Arabidopsis thaliana: one gene and its partners. Each later gene encodes a partner of the first gene's protein in a complex. Each region holds a gene or a part of one and is shown in the gene's direction. Other genes may lie near its edges.

Evidence for each region.
Region 2: the proteins of AT1G01230 (region 1) and LCB2 are in contact, whole or in part, in a cryo-EM structure (PDB 7YJK), measured with the Arabidopsis thaliana proteins. Residues at the interface, in NP_563622.1 of Arabidopsis thaliana: Met1 (codon at 2,124), Ala2 (codon at 2,127), Asn3 (codon at 2,130), Leu4 (codon at 2,133), Tyr5 (codon at 2,136), Val6 (codon at 2,139), Lys7 (codon at 2,142), Ala8 (codon at 2,145), Val9 (codon at 2,148), Pro10 (codon at 2,151), Pro12 (codon at 2,157), Met14 (codon at 2,163), Arg16 (codon at 2,169), Glu19 (codon at 2,178), Trp20 (codon at 2,181), Tyr23 (codon at 2,190), Pro24 (codon at 2,193), Gly25 (codon at 2,196), Val26 (codon at 2,199), Thr28 (codon at 2,205), Thr29 (codon at 2,208), Leu32 (codon at 2,217), Ser67 (codon at 2,973), Met71 (codon at 2,985), Thr74 (codon at 2,994), Pro75 (codon at 2,997), Phe76 (codon at 3,000), Asp78 (codon at 3,006); in NP_001031932.1 of Arabidopsis thaliana: Met1, Ile2, Thr3, Ile4, Pro5, Tyr6, Leu7, Ala9, Val10, Tyr13, Phe14, Phe20, His51, Glu52, Asp53, Tyr55, Ser192, Arg203, Val211, Gln213, Phe430, Ala432, Thr433, Pro434, Leu435, Leu436, Leu437, Tyr471, Phe472.
Region 3: the proteins of AT1G01230 (region 1) and LCB1 are in contact, whole or in part, in a cryo-EM structure (PDB 7YJM), measured with the Arabidopsis thaliana proteins. Residues at the interface, in NP_563622.1 of Arabidopsis thaliana: Gly95 (codon at 3,057), Gln96 (codon at 3,060), Gln97 (codon at 3,063), Leu98 (codon at 3,066), Thr99 (codon at 3,069), Lys103 (codon at 3,081), Thr106 (codon at 3,090), Leu107 (codon at 3,093), Val110 (codon at 3,102), Tyr113 (codon at 3,413), Leu114 (codon at 3,416), Ser117 (codon at 3,425), His118 (codon at 3,428), Tyr122 (codon at 3,440), Pro143 (codon at 3,503); in NP_001031796.1 of Arabidopsis thaliana: Gly36, His37, Val40, Glu41, Leu44, Ile48, Leu51, Leu52, Arg54, Lys55, Ser56, Tyr57, Lys58, Pro59.

What each region holds. Positions count from the first base shown.
Region 1 is NC_003070.9:95,497-99,757, forward strand, and holds AT1G01230 (ORMDL family protein), read left to right. Parts: upstream 1-1,915; 5' UTR 1,916-2,123; coding exon 2,124-2,309; intron 2,310-2,960; coding exon 2,961-3,109; intron 3,110-3,411; coding exon 3,412-3,550; 3' UTR 3,551-3,744; downstream 3,745-4,261. Other genes in the region: FKGP (L-fucokinase/GDP-L-fucose pyrophosphorylase), read left to right, coding at 1-56; AT1G01225 (NC domain-containing protein-like protein), read left to right, coding at 568-661, 1,058-1,746.
Region 2 is NC_003076.8:7,979,834-7,985,927, forward strand, and holds LCB2 (long chain base2), read left to right. Parts: upstream 1-1,807; 5' UTR 1,808-2,055; coding exon 2,056-2,181; intron 2,182-2,283; coding exon 2,284-2,349; intron 2,350-2,503; coding exon 2,504-2,592; intron 2,593-2,788; coding exon 2,789-2,934; intron 2,935-3,007; coding exon 3,008-3,132; intron 3,133-3,231; coding exon 3,232-3,325; intron 3,326-3,411; coding exon 3,412-3,575; intron 3,576-3,815; coding exon 3,816-3,977; intron 3,978-4,301; coding exon 4,302-4,428; intron 4,429-4,546; coding exon 4,547-4,713; intron 4,714-4,830; coding exon 4,831-4,938; intron 4,939-5,108; coding exon 5,109-5,204; 3' UTR 5,205-5,558; downstream 5,559-6,094. Other genes in the region: AT5G23680 (Sterile alpha motif (SAM) domain-containing protein), read right to left, coding at 5,740-6,094. UniProt on the Arabidopsis thaliana protein: Serine palmitoyltransferase (SPT). The heterodimer formed with LCB1 constitutes the catalytic core. Involved in the regulation of the programmed cell death (PCD) signaling pathway. Plays an important role during male gametogenesis and embryogenesis.
Region 3 is NC_003075.7:17,216,147-17,222,161, forward strand, and holds LCB1 (long-chain base1), read left to right. Parts: upstream 1-1,762; 5' UTR 1,763-2,141; intron 2,142-2,161; exon of another isoform or gene 2,162-2,270; intron 2,271-2,351; 5' UTR 2,352-2,451; coding exon 2,452-2,557; intron 2,558-2,669; coding exon 2,670-2,764; intron 2,765-2,888; coding exon 2,889-2,980; intron 2,981-3,060; coding exon 3,061-3,154; intron 3,155-3,232; coding exon 3,233-3,305; intron 3,306-3,399; coding exon 3,400-3,532; intron 3,533-3,670; coding exon 3,671-3,845; intron 3,846-3,946; coding exon 3,947-4,087; intron 4,088-4,173; coding exon 4,174-4,269; coding exon of another isoform or gene 4,270-4,293; exon of another isoform or gene 4,294-4,361; coding exon 4,362-4,503; intron 4,504-4,602; coding exon 4,603-4,730; intron 4,731-4,804; coding exon 4,805-4,978; 3' UTR 4,979-5,479; downstream 5,480-6,015. Other genes in the region: AT4G36470 (S-adenosyl-L-methionine-dependent methyltransferases superfamily protein), read right to left, coding at 1-160, 246-329; SFH12 (SEC14-like 12), read left to right, coding at 5,953-5,968. UniProt on the Arabidopsis thaliana protein: Component of serine palmitoyltransferase (SPT), which catalyzes the committed step in the synthesis of sphingolipids, the condensation of serine with palmitoyl CoA to form the long chain base 3-ketosphinganine.

The sequences.
Region 1 (4,261 bases):
TGGAAGAACATGCAGAGTTTGATGTCAAAGTTTACAACTGGAGCATCTGTATTTGAAAGATACATACAGTGTCAGTGTGTCATCATCTTGATTCTTGTAAATTGATATATTTTTTTGGGACCTTTGGAAAAAATAAAAGCAGAAGAATCTTTCAGATTTGCAATTAAAAACGATGTCGTGTGGTAAACAAAATCCTTTGCTTGACCAAGTCGTTCTCTTCTTGCTTCTGGTTGGTTTACTTCATAGTTCAACGACCACCAAGCTGTGAAGTGACCGTATTACCCCTGCCTGGAATCAAGGTCAAAAGGCCCCGGAAAATCAGTACGTTGGTAGCATTTGGATTTGGAGATAACGCCGTTAAAAGACTCTGTAACGGGTTTGCTCAACAGCTCTCTCTAGTTCGTTTATCGAATTAGATAATGCCACTCCAAAAAACGTTACTTTACCTTACCTATCTCGCTGACGTCAGATCCCACCGTTAGAGCTTACACTTGTAACGCCGTTTCCTGCATTTTCCACAAGCAAGGTAAAAAAAAGCTTTGTGCAGAGAGAGAGAGAAGAAGAAAAATGGGTTTGCTTACGAACAAGATTGAGAGAGAAGAGCTAAAGCCAGGAGATCACATCTATACTTACAGAGCAATCTTCGCTTATTCTCACCACGGTAACTTTAGATTCATTCTTCCCAAGTTTGCTCCTTTCTTTCTCGTTCATTCAATCATAACATCAAAAAGTGAAATTATCCTCAATGCAAGTCTTTTCTTTTAGTTTCTACTGGTCGGTTTAATCTTCTTATTGAAACTGTAAATTCACAAAGTTGACGACTTTATCTAGATAGATCTTGAAGACAATGGTCTATATTCCAATCTTTGCATGACCTAATTTCACCCTGGCTCTGTATTTTGATGTTATTCCATCATATCTTCTGATCTCTGATGGACTTTATAGATGATTTTTGTTTATTTGACATATTTTTATCCCAATTTCCTCTGGTGATGAAGAATTGATACTGTTGTAGACATTCCTTCATGGGCTTTGATTTGATTGTGGATTTTTGCAGGAATCTTTGTCGGTGGGTCCAAAGTTGTTCATTTCAGACCTGAACACAACCCCATGGATTCATCAACATCATCAATATCATCATCTTCCTCTGAAGATATCTGTTCCATATTTCCTGATTGCGGTTTCAGACAACCGGACAGTGGAGTAGTCCTTTCTTGCTTAGACTGTTTCCTCAAGAACGGCTCACTCTACTGCTTCGAATATGGAGTCAGTCCATCGGTTTTCCTAACCAAAGTCCGCGGAGGGACTTGCACAACCGCGCAATCTGATACAACTGATTCAGTCATCCACAGGGCAATGTACCTTCTCCAAAACGGATTTGGCAACTACGACATTTTCAAGAACAACTGTGAGGATTTCGCGCTCTATTGCAAGACCGGTTTGCTTATAATGGATAAGCTCGGTGTAGGGAGAAGCGGTCAAGCTTCTTCAATTGTTGGTGCTCCTTTGGCTGCACTCCTCTCTTCTCCTTTCAAATTGCTTATTCCAAGTCCCATTGGTGTGGCAACAGTTACTGCTGGTATGTACTGTATGAGTCGCTATGCTACCGATATTGGTGTTAGAAGCGACGTCATTAAGGTCTCAGTTGAGGATTTGGCTCTCAACCTTGACGTAAAGACCATTGAGCAAGGTGAAGAAGAAGAAGAAGACGAAGAAGAAGATTCTGATACCGACTATGTTAGGTGACAAACAGATACCTATCACCTTTGTTCACGAATTTCGATATACATAAGAAAACATTTCAGTTAGAATCCTCATGTTGGTTTTATGTTCCCTTTATTGCATTTGTTGGCCTATTTTCTGTCTGTACAAAATGAAAACGCAGACGTTTTGGTTTGGGTAATGTCAAAAATATCCCAATAATTAATTAATGCCCAGTGTAGATGCAAAAAAGCAGTCGTCGTCTTTCACGGGCACACAAAATTAAACCAAAGAAACAAACAATCCTTGTTCTCGCCGAAATAGAGAATTTTGTGAATCTGGGTTTTTAGTTCAGGTGTTAATATAAGATTTTGATCAAAAGAAGACGAGATTCGATCCGATCCGATCTGATTGAAGAAGAAATGGCGAATCTGTATGTGAAAGCGGTTCCACCACCGGATATGAATAGGAATACGGAATGGTTCATGTATCCAGGAGTTTGGACGACTTACATGCTTATTCTCTTCTTCGGTTGGCTCGTTGTTCTCTCTGTCTCTGGTTGTTCCCCTGGAATGGCTTGGACTGTTGTTAATCTCGCTCACTTCGTTGTAAGTCTTCGATTGTGTTTATGCTTTAGAGATGATTTTTTCACTTAGGGTTGTGACTTTAAATTAGATGATGGATTGATTCCTTGTTTTTTTTTTATTTCCTGAGATCTGGATGTGAATCTGGCTCTAGTGTTTGAATTGATCTCTTTGGTTATTAGCAATTTTTTAGTTGGTTTAGGGTTCGAATGAAGAGGCAATTACCTTCTGATTGATCAGTTTTAGCTATCGTATATCGTTGAGCTTGGATCAGGCTTCGAATTAGGATACAGTTACCTTCTTATCAATGAATTGATCAGTTTTGGTATCAGCGATTTTGAATTGATCTGTTTGGATACTATCAGCAGTGTTGACTGTTGAGTTGATCAGGCTTTTAAGTAAGATGCAATTCTCTTCTAAGTTTGAATTGATCGGTTTTGGATCAGGCTTCGAATTAAGATGCACCTTCTCGTTAATGAATTATCAGTTTTTGATATCAGAAACTAAAACTACCTATGGCATCAATGCAATTTCTTAAGGTCTAACTGTTTGATATAATGCGGTGACTTGTAAATTGGCATTGCTTGATTGTCAAAACCAAATTTAATCTAATTTCTAATTACTCTTTAGGAAAATGTGATGTCTGAGTAGAAATTTGTGGATATTTGTTGTCAGGTAACGTATCACAGCTTCCACTGGATGAAAGGAACTCCTTTTGCAGATGACCAAGGAATCTACAATGGTTTAACTTGGTGGGAACAAATGGACAATGGTCAACAGCTTACCCGCAACCGCAAATTTCTTACCCTAGTTCCTGTTGTTCTGTAAGTCCCAGCACCTTGTTCCTCAAAATCTCACCACTCTTGTCTATTTCCAATCTATATTTTCTTAGCAAATTATTTTCTTTAGCTGCATATATCCTTGTGTCTCATATGGTTAATAAATATGCTAATTTCTCAATACACATATCTAAATCCGGTGATGTGTAACGGACTAGTTCTAGAGAACTCTGTATACGCGATAATGTGTATAAACAAGAGCTGCATTTATCTGGATGAACTTTTAAGATTGAGCTCTTTAGCTTTTGTACTTGTTTTCTGACTTTATAACGACACATTTAAAACAGGTACTTGATTGCATCGCATACAACAGATTACAGACATCCATGGCTGTTCCTCAACACACTCGCTGTGATGGTTCTCGTTGTTGCCAAGTTCCCCAACATGCACAAGGTACGCATCTTTGGTATCAATGGTGATAAATAAGTTTCCTTTACGGCAAGAGAACACCTGAAAGAAGGAAAAGGGGATATAAGCGAACATATATATGTGTAAATGTTCATATGAGTTGGTTTAATTCTCGAGTCATGTTTTTTGTTGGATATTTGTAAGTAAACTCTCTAATTTTGAAGCTTTCATCTTTTACCTTTTATAATAGACACGAAAAAGCTTTCCCTTCATCTCCCCACTTCACTTCAGATAATGGGCCTAATAGCAATATGGGCTTGAACAATAATTGAATTTAACAATGGCCCAAAGATTCCTGTCGTGGTGACTCATGAGTTATCATAACACCAGAATGTTTTCGATTGAGCGTAATGATTCAGTGGGATCTAAAGAACACGTGGCTGCCTACAAGATCTCTAACAGCTGGTTAATGACACGTGTCATAGTTAAAGTCCACCTGGATGGATATTATATCATGGTGTACGTATACAAAATAGTTAATCCCTCTTCAAAATTGAATAAAGCTAACAAAAGTAATCAATTAACGTGATTAAAAAAAAAAAGAGAATGCTAATTGGACCCCGAAAACATGATATATCCTGCAAAATTAAAGCCGACAAAACGAAAGAATGACTAATTAAAGTTGGAATAAGACTAATGATTTTTTTTTTTTTTTTTCTTATTGTGGTCCAATGTAAGAAAATAAATAAAAACATCTTATCCATTAAATCGAAAGTAGGGTCCATATCG
Region 2 (6,094 bases), on another chromosome or scaffold:
TTTCATTACGATGGCACTCTTAAGCAGTCTAGTATCTAGAGTGTAGACAATAGACATGCATGGTTATTGAGACTGTTTACCTAATCTCATTACCATTTCCTCAGCCAGTTGATAGATCATGCTTCACTTTGGCTTCTTGTGTTTTTTTCCTCTTCATCATATTTTATTTGTAAATAGGTGATCGTGTTCACAAACTATATACGTTATACATTATTATTTATAAATGAAAAACCGGAATTGGTTAGTAAATTAAACCAATTATGATATGTGCTTGGTGCGTATGTGTATATGTATGTCTATAACTCTATATATCCTTTATATAAACTCCCACTATGGCACTCTCATCTTTGCCGTTAAGATATGAATTAGATATAATTCATCAATTATAAGGCAAAACTTTCGAATATGGTTGGATTTTAGTAGAGCTGGCCGGCAGCTTTGGTGCACAACAATTGTCTCTCTTCTTTACAAAATTTATATATATTATTATGTTGCTAATTAAGTTTATCTGCTCAGACGTATAAGATATTTGTACTCACATATTGCATATCGTACTGTATATGATAATGGAATGTGCTAAGGATATATATATTTAAAACGTTTTCATAAATCTCATCAAGGACTTGATCTTTTTATAAAAGCATTTTCGTGCCTTTCTAGGTGTATGGACGTATTTAAACGAAGGTTTATCTAGTCCTTCCTCAACTTTATTAAACTGTATGCAAATTAATCAGTTAGTTGTTTATTTTGTAGACCAAATATAATCCGAGTCTATATTCATTTGCTGATTCAAAAAGAAAAAGTATATATATATATATATATATATATTTTTTTTTTTTTAAAATTAAATTCAATTAGGTTTAATAAAATTATACACCGGACTAAAATAAAAAACCAATTTGAATTATTCATCCTTCAAATAATTCTTGGTAAGTTAAACGAAACCAAATCAAACATAATCACGAATTTTCCTTACTCACTCGTTTTATGCAAGATGAAAATTACAAATCGAATAAATATACCAAAATATCAAATTAAAAGTCACATACATATAGTAACGAAATCGAAATTTGAGAAGGAAAAATTGATTTTTATTTTCCTCTCGCTTGGTTGGTGCATGCACGATGAAAATGTTTTATCTTTTTTTTTTTTTCTCTCAAAAACCGACTTGACATTGTATCTATCGGAGTGTTGTAAATTATGTAACCTCTTTTGATAAAGACGAGACTCTTTTTCATCGCAACAATGACATATCCTAATTCTTAGAAATCCTTATTTGGCTGCTATAGAAGAACAACATATTTTTTTCTTTTTCCACCAGCCATTCTCCCATCTACTCGTTGGTGCAATATTCACATGGAAAACAGTTGGATTTAAAGGAGATTACAAAACTTAATTCATAAAATCGAACTCTATATATGGAAATTAAGGGTGACATATTAAATGCAATTCAACCCAACTAAAAATGTTGCAACCGAAACAAATCAATCAAACTAAAATAACATGCAAGTCCAAATATATCATAATACTAATAAATATGATTCTTTTGTCTCATTAAGCATCTGGTTCTATGGTGTAGTGGTTAGCACTCAGGACTTTGAATCCTGCGACCTGGGTTCGACTCCCGGTAGAACCTCATTTTTTTCTTTCTCCAAACTAAATTTTAAAGTTCTAAACAAACAGGTCATCAGCTATCACATTTGGGCCTAGTTTGAATTAGTGGACTCCAAGGCCCAAGATACGTAAAATCGCTATTTCGTTTTAAGGTTCTAAAGATAAATTATCTGTACTATTAAATATTTTAATATTAAAAAAGAAAAGAAATGGTTTTATGATCCGATCCCTTCTCAATCTCACGGAGGGGAAAAGATTCCTCCAATTCAAATCTCTGTCTGTGTCTCTGTCTCTCAACTTTCAATTTCTGAGAGAGTCGGAAATATTCTCCAGATCGCCTAAGGCAAATTCGTTTTCCGATTCGGCCTAGCGACGGCGAGAGAGGAGAGGAAGAGGCAAGTTGATTGACCGGAGAAGAAGACGAAGCCGTTCTTGGAGAAAATGATAACGATTCCTTATTTAACCGCTGTATCCACCTACTTCAGCTATGGATTGCTCTTTGCTTTTGGTCAGCTCCGAGATTTCTTCCGTCGCTTCATTGATTGGTGGTTCACTAGCAATCTCCAGGTCTGTCTGTTTTCTCCAGTATATAATGTACGTAGATGTGGATCAATGTACAAGTTTGTTTAACTTTATGCTTCTTATTCCGGTGAAATTGGCTATCGACAGGGATACGCGCCGATCTGTTTGGGGCATGAGGATTTCTATATCAGGCGATTGTATCATCGGATTCAGGTAAATTCATTATCAAATCTATGATTCTGTTAACAAAATCGAATTGATTATTGGCATTGTAGTTATGCAAGCTTTAAGCGTTGTGAATGTTTGGCTTATGAGTTTCTCGTGTTTACTGCTTGATGACTAATGTTTATCTCCGTTTTGCTTCAAGGATTGTTTTGAACGACCTATATCGAGTGCACCTGATGCTTGGTTTGATGTGGTTGAGCGCTACTCTAATGACAACAACAAGACGCTTAAGTGAGTCTGTCTACTTGTGTTTTTCTATCAGTAGTCGTAGCTTCTTTGATTCTGTTGGGAGAATATGAAAATGCTGAATTCGAATGGTTGATACAGTCTTGTAAAATTGTCCCATTCAAGTTTAATTAGGGGAAGATTTGAATTCTAAATTAAGAAGGTTGCTGAGTAAACCTTTGTTGGTGTTGACTCTGTGCAGGCGAACAACAAAAACTAGCAGGTGCCTCAATTTGGGGTCCTACAATTATCTTGGGTTTGGTTCTTTTGATGAATATTGCACGCCTCGTGTTATTGAGTCCTTGAAGAAATTTTCAGCAAGTACATGTAGCTCTCGTGTTGATGCAGGTAAAGTGTCTTTGCCTATAGATTCAAGAACCATTTTGGCTCTGTTTCTAAACAAACTTTTTTCTGCTATCAGGAACTACATCCGTGCATGCAGAACTTGAGGAATGTGTTACTAGGTTTGTGGGAAAGCCTGCTGCTGTTGTTTTTGGCATGGGCTATGCAACAAATTCGGCTATCATTCCAGTCTTGATTGGAAAGGTATGCATTGGTTTACCCTTTATGATGAAGGCGTATGTTGTCTCTTTTCTAAAACCCATGCTTAAGTTGATATTTTTTCCTGTGATGTCTTGTATACAGGGAGGGTTGATAATAAGTGATTCTTTGAACCATAGTTCTATTGTCAATGGTGCTCGAGGTTCTGGAGCCACTATCCGTGTTTTCCAGCATAACAGTAAGCATTTGTTGTGTTTCAGCTTCAGAGGTTCTTTCCATATAATGGATGGCTTACATGTATATTCTCTTGCTTGTGTTTCTTAGCGCCTTCCCATTTGGAACGAGTTTTGAGAGAACAAATTGCAGAAGGTCAACCTAGGACACATCGACCATGGAAGAAAATTATTGTTGTTGTTGAAGGTATTTACAGCATGGAAGGGGAGATTTGTCATCTACCGGAAGTTGTGGCCATATGCAAGAAGTATAAGGTGAGACAATATTCCTGAATTACTGATTATGAGAATTGGTTGATAACTGAAACTATTTTGTGTGTGCAAATACCCCTTAAAAAGTAACTGGGTTCACTATGTGCCACATTCAATATAAGCGATAAATTAAGGAACTCTATTGACTAAAATTACCCTTTGAAATGCCATATTTTCTAAACTATTGGGAGTTTTTTGTTGCGTGAAAAGATACACCTAACTTATCTTCTATCTTCGTTTCAGGCATATGTTTATTTGGATGAAGCTCACAGCATTGGGGCAATTGGTAAAACAGGAAAGGGTATTTGTGAACTCCTGGGAGTTGACACAGCTGATGTGGACGTAATGATGGGAACCTTCACAAAATCTTTTGGGTCTTGTGGTGGCTATATTGCTGGATCTAAGGTTAGAAAATGCTACATTTGTTTTTATTTACTGATCTTGCAAATCTCCTGCAGTCTTGTTTTGGTAAATCAAGTTTCTGACCTTTTAGTTTAGCTCAAAAAGAATATTGATAGCCGTAACTTTCACTCAAATATAAACCATTAACCAAAAAAACGCTCACTCAAAAGTCAAAACTTATTTTGAACCTGCGAAATGACGATTAGTATATATATATAAAGGCCTTCAGTATCTATACGACATACCATGTGATACTTAGGTAAGCTGTACACTTCTTAAATTCAACAAAAGTATAATCAATTTATTATTTTTATTCAACTTCTATAGGAGCTCATCCAATATTTGAAGCATCAATGCCCAGCTCATCTTTACGCAACATCCATACCAACTCCTTCCGCACAACAAATTATATCTGCCATTAAAGTTATTCTGGGAGAGGATGGTTCAAATCGAGGTACTCGATTTTTTTTCTCACCGTGTCATTAATTGGCCTCATTTGGGTCACTGAGCACAATCTAATCAGGTCATGACTCATAACCTAAAAACTCCCATTCTTCTCAAATACTGAACAGGGGCACAAAAGCTAGCAAGAATACGTGAGAACAGCAACTTTTTCCGGGCTGAGCTGCAGAAGATGGGATTTGAGGTACTTGGAGACAATGATTCCCCAGTCATGCCTATAATGCTTTACAACCCAGCAAAAATCCCAGCTTTCTCAAGAGAATGTCTGCGACAAAAAGTAAGTTCTATTATTCAAATCCAAATATCATATGAGAACTCGATTAACACAAGGTAACAAGATCAAAAAGTAAATGATTAACTTGTGGGTGCAATGGAACCTTGAAACTCTGAACAGGTGGCAGTGGTGGTCGTGGGTTTCCCAGCTACACCTCTACTGCTGGCTAGGGCACGTATTTGCATCTCCGCATCTCATTCAAGAGAAGATCTTATAAGAGCCCTCAAGGTAAAATATTGCATTCTACCCACTTGTGTTTTTTTCTTATTACAAATAAGCGCTATTCCACAGAAGTCCCAAAGCACAAAACTGCTAAAATAGATCTATATGCTTCGATAGAGCTCGGTTTCAATGCAAGACAAGTTTTGAATCAATGTGTGTGGTTTTGTGTTGGACAGGTTATAAGCAAAGTAGGTGACCTTAGCGGAATCAAATATTTCCCGGCAGAGCCGAAGAAAATAGAACAGTCGAAAAACGACATCAAGCTGGATTGAAGAATTAACCAATGAAATAGAGATGCATCCAGGAAAACGCAAGCAAATGCTGTGTTATGTGTTAACTTCTCCATATCTCTCTGATGTGACACAAATCTGATTTCTCAGGGGTCCAGCCATTTCCTCTCTAAGTAAAACACAAACCCAGAGTTAGTCCACCTTTCCTCAAGTCTTGTTTACCATGGTGCTACTGCATTTATGTGATTCTTCATCCATGTTTTTCCAAGAGTTTAAATGTATAGTAATATCGTTGAATGATGTCAGAGTTCTTTTATTACTCCGGACAACAACTGTTTTCTATGTTTGGATTATTTGTATCAAAAGGTTTTGGATAAATTGGTCAATTAAGTTCCCAACCATCAAAAACCACAAGGTACAACAATCACAAATAAGTTAATCCTTCTTCATCTTCCTCTACCATTACAACAAACTAACTAAAATGTTACATTCAAACCAAAAAAACATCAAAAGAGAGAATTAAGTTTCAGACATTGCCAATGGCTGGTCACAAAAAACAAAACTCTTCCACCATTTTTCACGAGAACTCCCTCCCAAGCTTCTGAATTGCACAATACATCTTCCTCCTAGACCCAACAGCATTAATCCCCATATCTTTAAGATCCTCCAATGTCAACAATGGTAACACTTGTTCATCAACTTCATGCATCTCAAACATTGGCCAATATCTCCCTAACCCTAACTCTTGTAACCATATCTTCACTCCTTCTTTTCCTCTTCCTCCACTTTGCCAATCTCCTAACAATTCAACCTCTCTATTCTCGTACCGTCTTCGTTCTTTCATCGGACTCTCCGAATCTTCTCTGCTGAAATCCCTAAACCCTTCTTCTCCTCCCAATTCTTCATCCTCTTCCTCTTCTTCTTCCTCTCCA
Region 3 (6,015 bases), on another chromosome or scaffold:
CAACTTGGACGGTTTTGATGAAGTCTGTAATGGTGGAGAGAGTGTTTGGTCCTGAAGAACATCCTAGATCAGCTATTCCTAAACTCTTTGGTCTTGTCTCTTTGTAGAGTTGTTGAAGTGTCTCTAGTGTTATGTGCTTTGCCGTATCAGATGCTTTCTTCTACAAGATTAAAACAGGAAAAGTGGTTATAGAGAGTCAAAATTATGAACTAAGTGAAGATATGTGGGAAATCTCAAGAACCTACCTGGAGGGAAGAGTTTCTGGCATAACTAGTTTTTCCATCTCCTCCTGTCATGTAAAACTCTCTCTCCATATCCTTCTTATCCATCACAATAACAATAAAAGTGAAGAAATTTAGTATAATTTTGGGTTAGGGTTTGTTCTTTTGGTGTTAGAATTTGCTTTTCTTAAAGGAGAAATCTTTGGCCTGTCACTTCATTCTTCCATTACCCTACCTTTTTTTTTGTGTGTTTACTTTTCCATCTATTTTCTTTCTTGAAAATACGATGTGGGATTCGTTCATCATTGGTCATGATTCAACGAAAATAAATTTTTCTTTGGTTGGATGAATTTAGTTTAAGGAGAAATGGCAGGTGTAGTCCAAAGTGACCAAAAATAGGAATAAACAAAGTAGAGGATAATGTTTCATGTAAATATAAAGGATAAATTAGTCAAACAACATCATGATGGCTTCATGTAATGTTTGTACTTTCTTTACTCTGTTCTTGCTATCAGTGCTAGACTCTGTTCTTGCTTTGCGTGGTGGACTCTATTGCCATTTCTTGTTTAAGGACTTTTATTCGTTTAAACATAAACTAAATTTCATTAGAAAAATTACCCTTGCTAGAATCTATTTGGTGATTTATATGAAAAATCGTGGAATAGAATATGGATGATATTTTTAATTGTAATGTAAATGTTTCAAAACATACAAAAAAGTATAGGAAACTTTGGGAGATAGGAGGAAGAAGACTGATTGACTTTTGAAGGTAGAAAAAGCTATACAAGAATGAGTGATGATGATTGGTGTGTGTGTGTGTGTGACCACCATTTCCTTCTCTTTTTCTCTCTTTCTCCTTACCGTAAGGCTTTTTTAGTAATCTTCTTTCTCTCTCTGCCTTGCCTTCAAGATTTTAGTGGTGGTCATGAATGCTTGTTGCGTCATAAGGGTAGTGTAAATGCTCTGTTAGGTGAGAGAGACTGTGTGTTGGTACTTGGTATGATAAGGTTTTTGTGGTTAGAGAGAGGGCCGAGGGGGACGCACGCGTGTCGCTTGAGGGATTAATGCAAAACCGTAACGTATCAATCTTTTTTCTTCATATAATCTCTTCTTCAACCATGATCGTCTCTCTCTTGTTGCTTACGTTTTGTTTTTTCAAGTGTGGTGAAAAGTTAATCACTTAAAAGTTAGTCATTGGGCCTCTAACAAAGCCCATATTTAAAACCTAAGACCGTTCCATTAAAATGACGTCGTATCTAAGCAACTAATTCGTGAGATGTAAATATGAATATGATATGATACTATGGTTGAACAGAATAGGAATAATATATGTATAGTGTAATGTAAATGCTACAAAATATTACAGAAAAAGTAGGGGGAACTTTGGGGTCGAATATGATTACAAGAAGGTTAGAAAAAAGCTAAACAAGAATGAGTGGTGATGATTGGTGTGTGTGACCACCATTTTCCTCTTTCTGTCTCTTCCTTACCTTTAGGCTTTAGTACTCTTTCTTTCTCTCTTTGCATTGTCCTTTAAGACTTTAGTGGTGGTGATGAATGCTTACTAGTGACTGTGTCACAGTGTGTGCTGTTGAAACATTGGGCCTCTAGGCCCATATCTAACACTTAAACGGCGTCGTATCGATGAACCAACACACAGATCTGGGCCCAGGATTCTACTGACGTATTACGAACATAGACAGATCCGCTCGTCTTCTTCTTTTACTTTTTTTTTTTTCTCTCTGAAATTGATTTTTTTTTTTTGCCGTCTGCGTTATCAAAAATCTCGAAAAAACGTTGAAAGTCAATCTTTTTGCATCGCCGAATTTGAACAACACTCCTCGTGTGTTTGACACTCTTGTGGGCACGATACCTTCTGCTCCTTGTCCATTTTGCCACCCAAAATCCAATTGGGATCAGGTAACGTTCCTCGTTTATTTGTCGGATCTATTTGTAATCATATATACTTTCTTAATCTGTTCTCCGAGATTTCGATTTCTCGTTGCTCAGTGATCCGATGCCAGATCTTTCCTGATAGTTTTTTTTTGGGTCGAATTTGGATTCAAAATTGCCACTTTTTGTTGTGAATTTTGAAAATTTGTAATACTAATTGAAGATTGGGTTTTGTAGGTTTTCCCAAAGTTGAGCTAGCTTCTCTTATGCTCGATTCGTCGAGCAAATTAATACTATAGAAGAAAAAAGTACAGAGCTTTATTAAAGCAAATTAGCAATGGCTTCGAATCTCGTGGAAATGTTTAATGCTGCTTTGAATTGGGTTACTATGATTCTGGAGAGTCCTTCAGCTAGAGTTGTCTTGTTTGGTGTCCCAATCCGAGGTATAGATTTGAAGAAACAACTTTAAGTGAACTTTGTCTGTCTATCCAAGTTTGTTGGTTATTTGAGATTACTAAAGATTTCAACTTTTTTGTTTTTGTTTTCGTTTTCCAGGGCACTTCTTTGTGGAAGGGTTGTTGGGTGTTGTCATTATCATTCTCCTCACTCGGAAGAGTTATAAACCTCCCAAGCGACCATTGACCGAGCAGGTTCTGTCTCAGATCCTTTCTTGATATTGGTTTGATAGATCACATAGGATTTGGTTCGTGGTGACATCTTTGATGTGTGGTATAGTTGAAATGTATTGAGTTTTCGGGGTTTTTTATTACTCAGGAAATAGATGAGTTGTGTGATGAGTGGGTTCCTGAACCTCTTATACCGCCAATTACTGAAGACATGAAGCATGAGCCACCAGTTCTTGAAAGGTAACGTAGAAGACTTCTATGTAGTTCGTTGTATAGCCTTATTCTGTGTTATGCTTAAAGATTTTGTTGGGTCCATACAGTGCTGCTGGACCGCATACAACAGTTAATGGAAAAGATGTGGTGAATTTTGCCTCAGCTAATTATCTTGGGCTCATTGGCCACGAGAAGTTGCTGGTAACGTGAAGCTACTTTGTTTTCAATACAATCTCTCTTCTGTTTGAATAGTTTTATTTAAGATTTGTCTTATGCCAGGAATCATGTACTTCTGCATTAGAAAAATATGGGGTCGGTTCTTGTGGGCCTCGTGGATTCTATGGTACAATTGGTAAGAAGACAATAATTTTCTAAATAGATACTTTGGTTCATCCATTGGCTCGCTTGGAAAGGGTTCTTACTGTTTGATTACTTCTCTTGACTAGATGTCCACCTTGACTGCGAAACCAGAATATCCAAATTTTTGGGTACTCCTGATTCAATCCTTTACTCTTATGGACTTTCCACAATGTTCAGCACAATTCCTTGTTTCTGTAAGAAAGGCGATGTCATTGTTGCGTAAGTACACAATTTCTTATAACATCGTTCTACTTATTAGATTACGTTAGTAGAAATCCCAGGATTACATTGAACATCTTTGTTTGAAACTTTTTTATCTCGATATTAAACTCATTCTTGTCTTTTCTATTTTCTTAGTGATGAGGGTGTTCACTGGGGAATACAAAATGGACTTCAGCTTTCAAGAAGTACAATTGTGTACTTCAAGCACAATGACATGGAATCCCTTCGAATTACCCTTGAGAAAATCATGACAAAGTACAAGCGCTCAAAGAACTTGAGGCGTTATATTGTAGCTGAAGCTGTATATCAAGTACCTGGCAGTTTTCTTTCTTCTCCTGCTTCCATATTTTGAAAATTCTCCCTGAACTGTGATGCTTACCCATTTGCCTTTGGGTATGTTAAAATCTACAGAATTCAGGTCAAATTGCGCCTCTGGATGAGATTGTAAAACTAAAAGAGAAGTATCGGTTTCGTGTTATATTGGATGAAAGCAACTCTTTTGGTGTGCTTGGCCGTTCTGGGAGAGGTCTTGCAGAGCATCATAGTGTCCCTGTAAGTATGATTGACACACATTTTAGTAGTGTTCTCATTTGCCAAACCTGATGCTAAAAATTTCACGGCGGTTTATCTTTAAACAGATTGAGAAGATAGATGTTGTGACTGCTGCAATGGGCCATGCATTAGCCACAGAAGGTGGATTTTGCACTGGGAATGCCCGCATCATCGATTACCAGGTAAACATCGATCATGCTGATTAACTAATTACAAACAAAATTAAAAAACTACCGATAATAGAAACTTTTCTCTGGGACGCTCAAATGCACAGAGACTTAGCAGTTCAGGATATGTGTTCTCTGCTTCTTTACCACCATACCTTGCAAGTGCTGCTATCACCGCCATTGATGTCATTGATCAAAACCCTGATATGTTAGTTAAGCTGAAGCAAAATGTTGCTCTGTTATGGAAAGGTTTGATCTTCAAGTTTTAATCTAATCTAGCAACAATTAGAGTTTGATTTAGTTTGTTATCTTCCTCTAATTGAAAAAGAAATGCTGGGAACAACGCAGGATTGTCAGATATCAAGGGGATGTCATTAACAAGCAACCGGGAATCACCTATTGTTTTCTTAAAATTAGAGAAATCTAGCGGTTCAGCTAAAGATGATTTGCTTCTACTTGAGAAAATGGCTGACCGTGTAAGTTCATTGTTTCTTTGCAAAACCAAATCTAGACCCTGTCCCCGTTTCTTGACATGACTAGATGCATGCAGGCTCTGAAGGAAGACTCATTGTTGGTTGTGAGTTCTAAAAGATCATTTCTTGATAAATGCCGGTTACCTGTGGGAATCAAACTCTACGTCTCAGCGGGACATTCGGAATCCGATCTTCTTAAAGCGTCGGAGTCACTGAAGAGACTTGCTTCAGAGCTTCTACTCAAGTCCTGAAACACCGAAACTCTTTTTTCTTCAAGAACAACAACACTGAAGGGAACTCTTTGAACACATCCGTGTGAGATAGTAGACAACAGAATCCGCAGAGTCAGTAGCTTGAAGATGTTCATAGCAGATTCCTAAACTGGTTCTCCACTTTCAGTGATGGGCTTGTGGTTGATCTGAAGCTCAATTGACGAAGGAGGATTATCGAAGACAATGGCTTCTTGTTCTTACATTTATTTCATTTGATCATCTGAGTTCTTTTTTTTTTTTTCCTACTCATACCCTTCAATGATCAAGTAGCTTAGTGTTGTTGCCGAAATTCAAAAACTTTCAATTTATGGGAAACAAAAAAGTTCATGTGCTGACATCAGCCTCTTAAGGCTTTCTGAGTTTCTTGCGGTAAAAGAAAGTGTTTTTGCCTCTCTCAAATCTCAATAGTATTGACACGTGTCAGTATAACACTCGTGCATAATTGACACGTGTCAGTATAACACTCGTGGGCGGTATAATGTGAACGAAAGAGCGAGGGACAGGTAATCTCTCTTCCTCTGTTTCTAAGTTTGTATAATTAGAACTGCATAACGAAAAACAAAAACAAAACAGTGACCAAAAAAAGAAGAAGAATCAATGGTTGGGGAAAGAGAGAATATGAGGTGGAGCTTTACCTCGACGTTAATGGAGTTGAGAATCCAATGGAACGATTTTGAGAGATTTTCGGAGCAATCTCACTCTCCTTTTATCTTTCTCCTTCCTCTCATTTCCTCTTTGCAGAGGTAATTTATCTTTTAATTGTCTCTCTGTTTTGTTCTGTTTTCTTAACTTCATGTTCATCGTTATCGTTGTTCGAATTTGATTTGTAATTAGGGAATGTGAATTTCTTACAGGAATTTGGCAAAGGGCATTGGCTAAAAATAATAAGACACTCGTTAGAGTGCTCGTCCCTCGTGCCCTTACCTGCCTAATTCCAACTATCTGGCAAAATCATGACTTTGATCCAAGGTATAGTAAACAAAAATGAAGAGATTTTTTAGTTCTCTGTTTTGTTA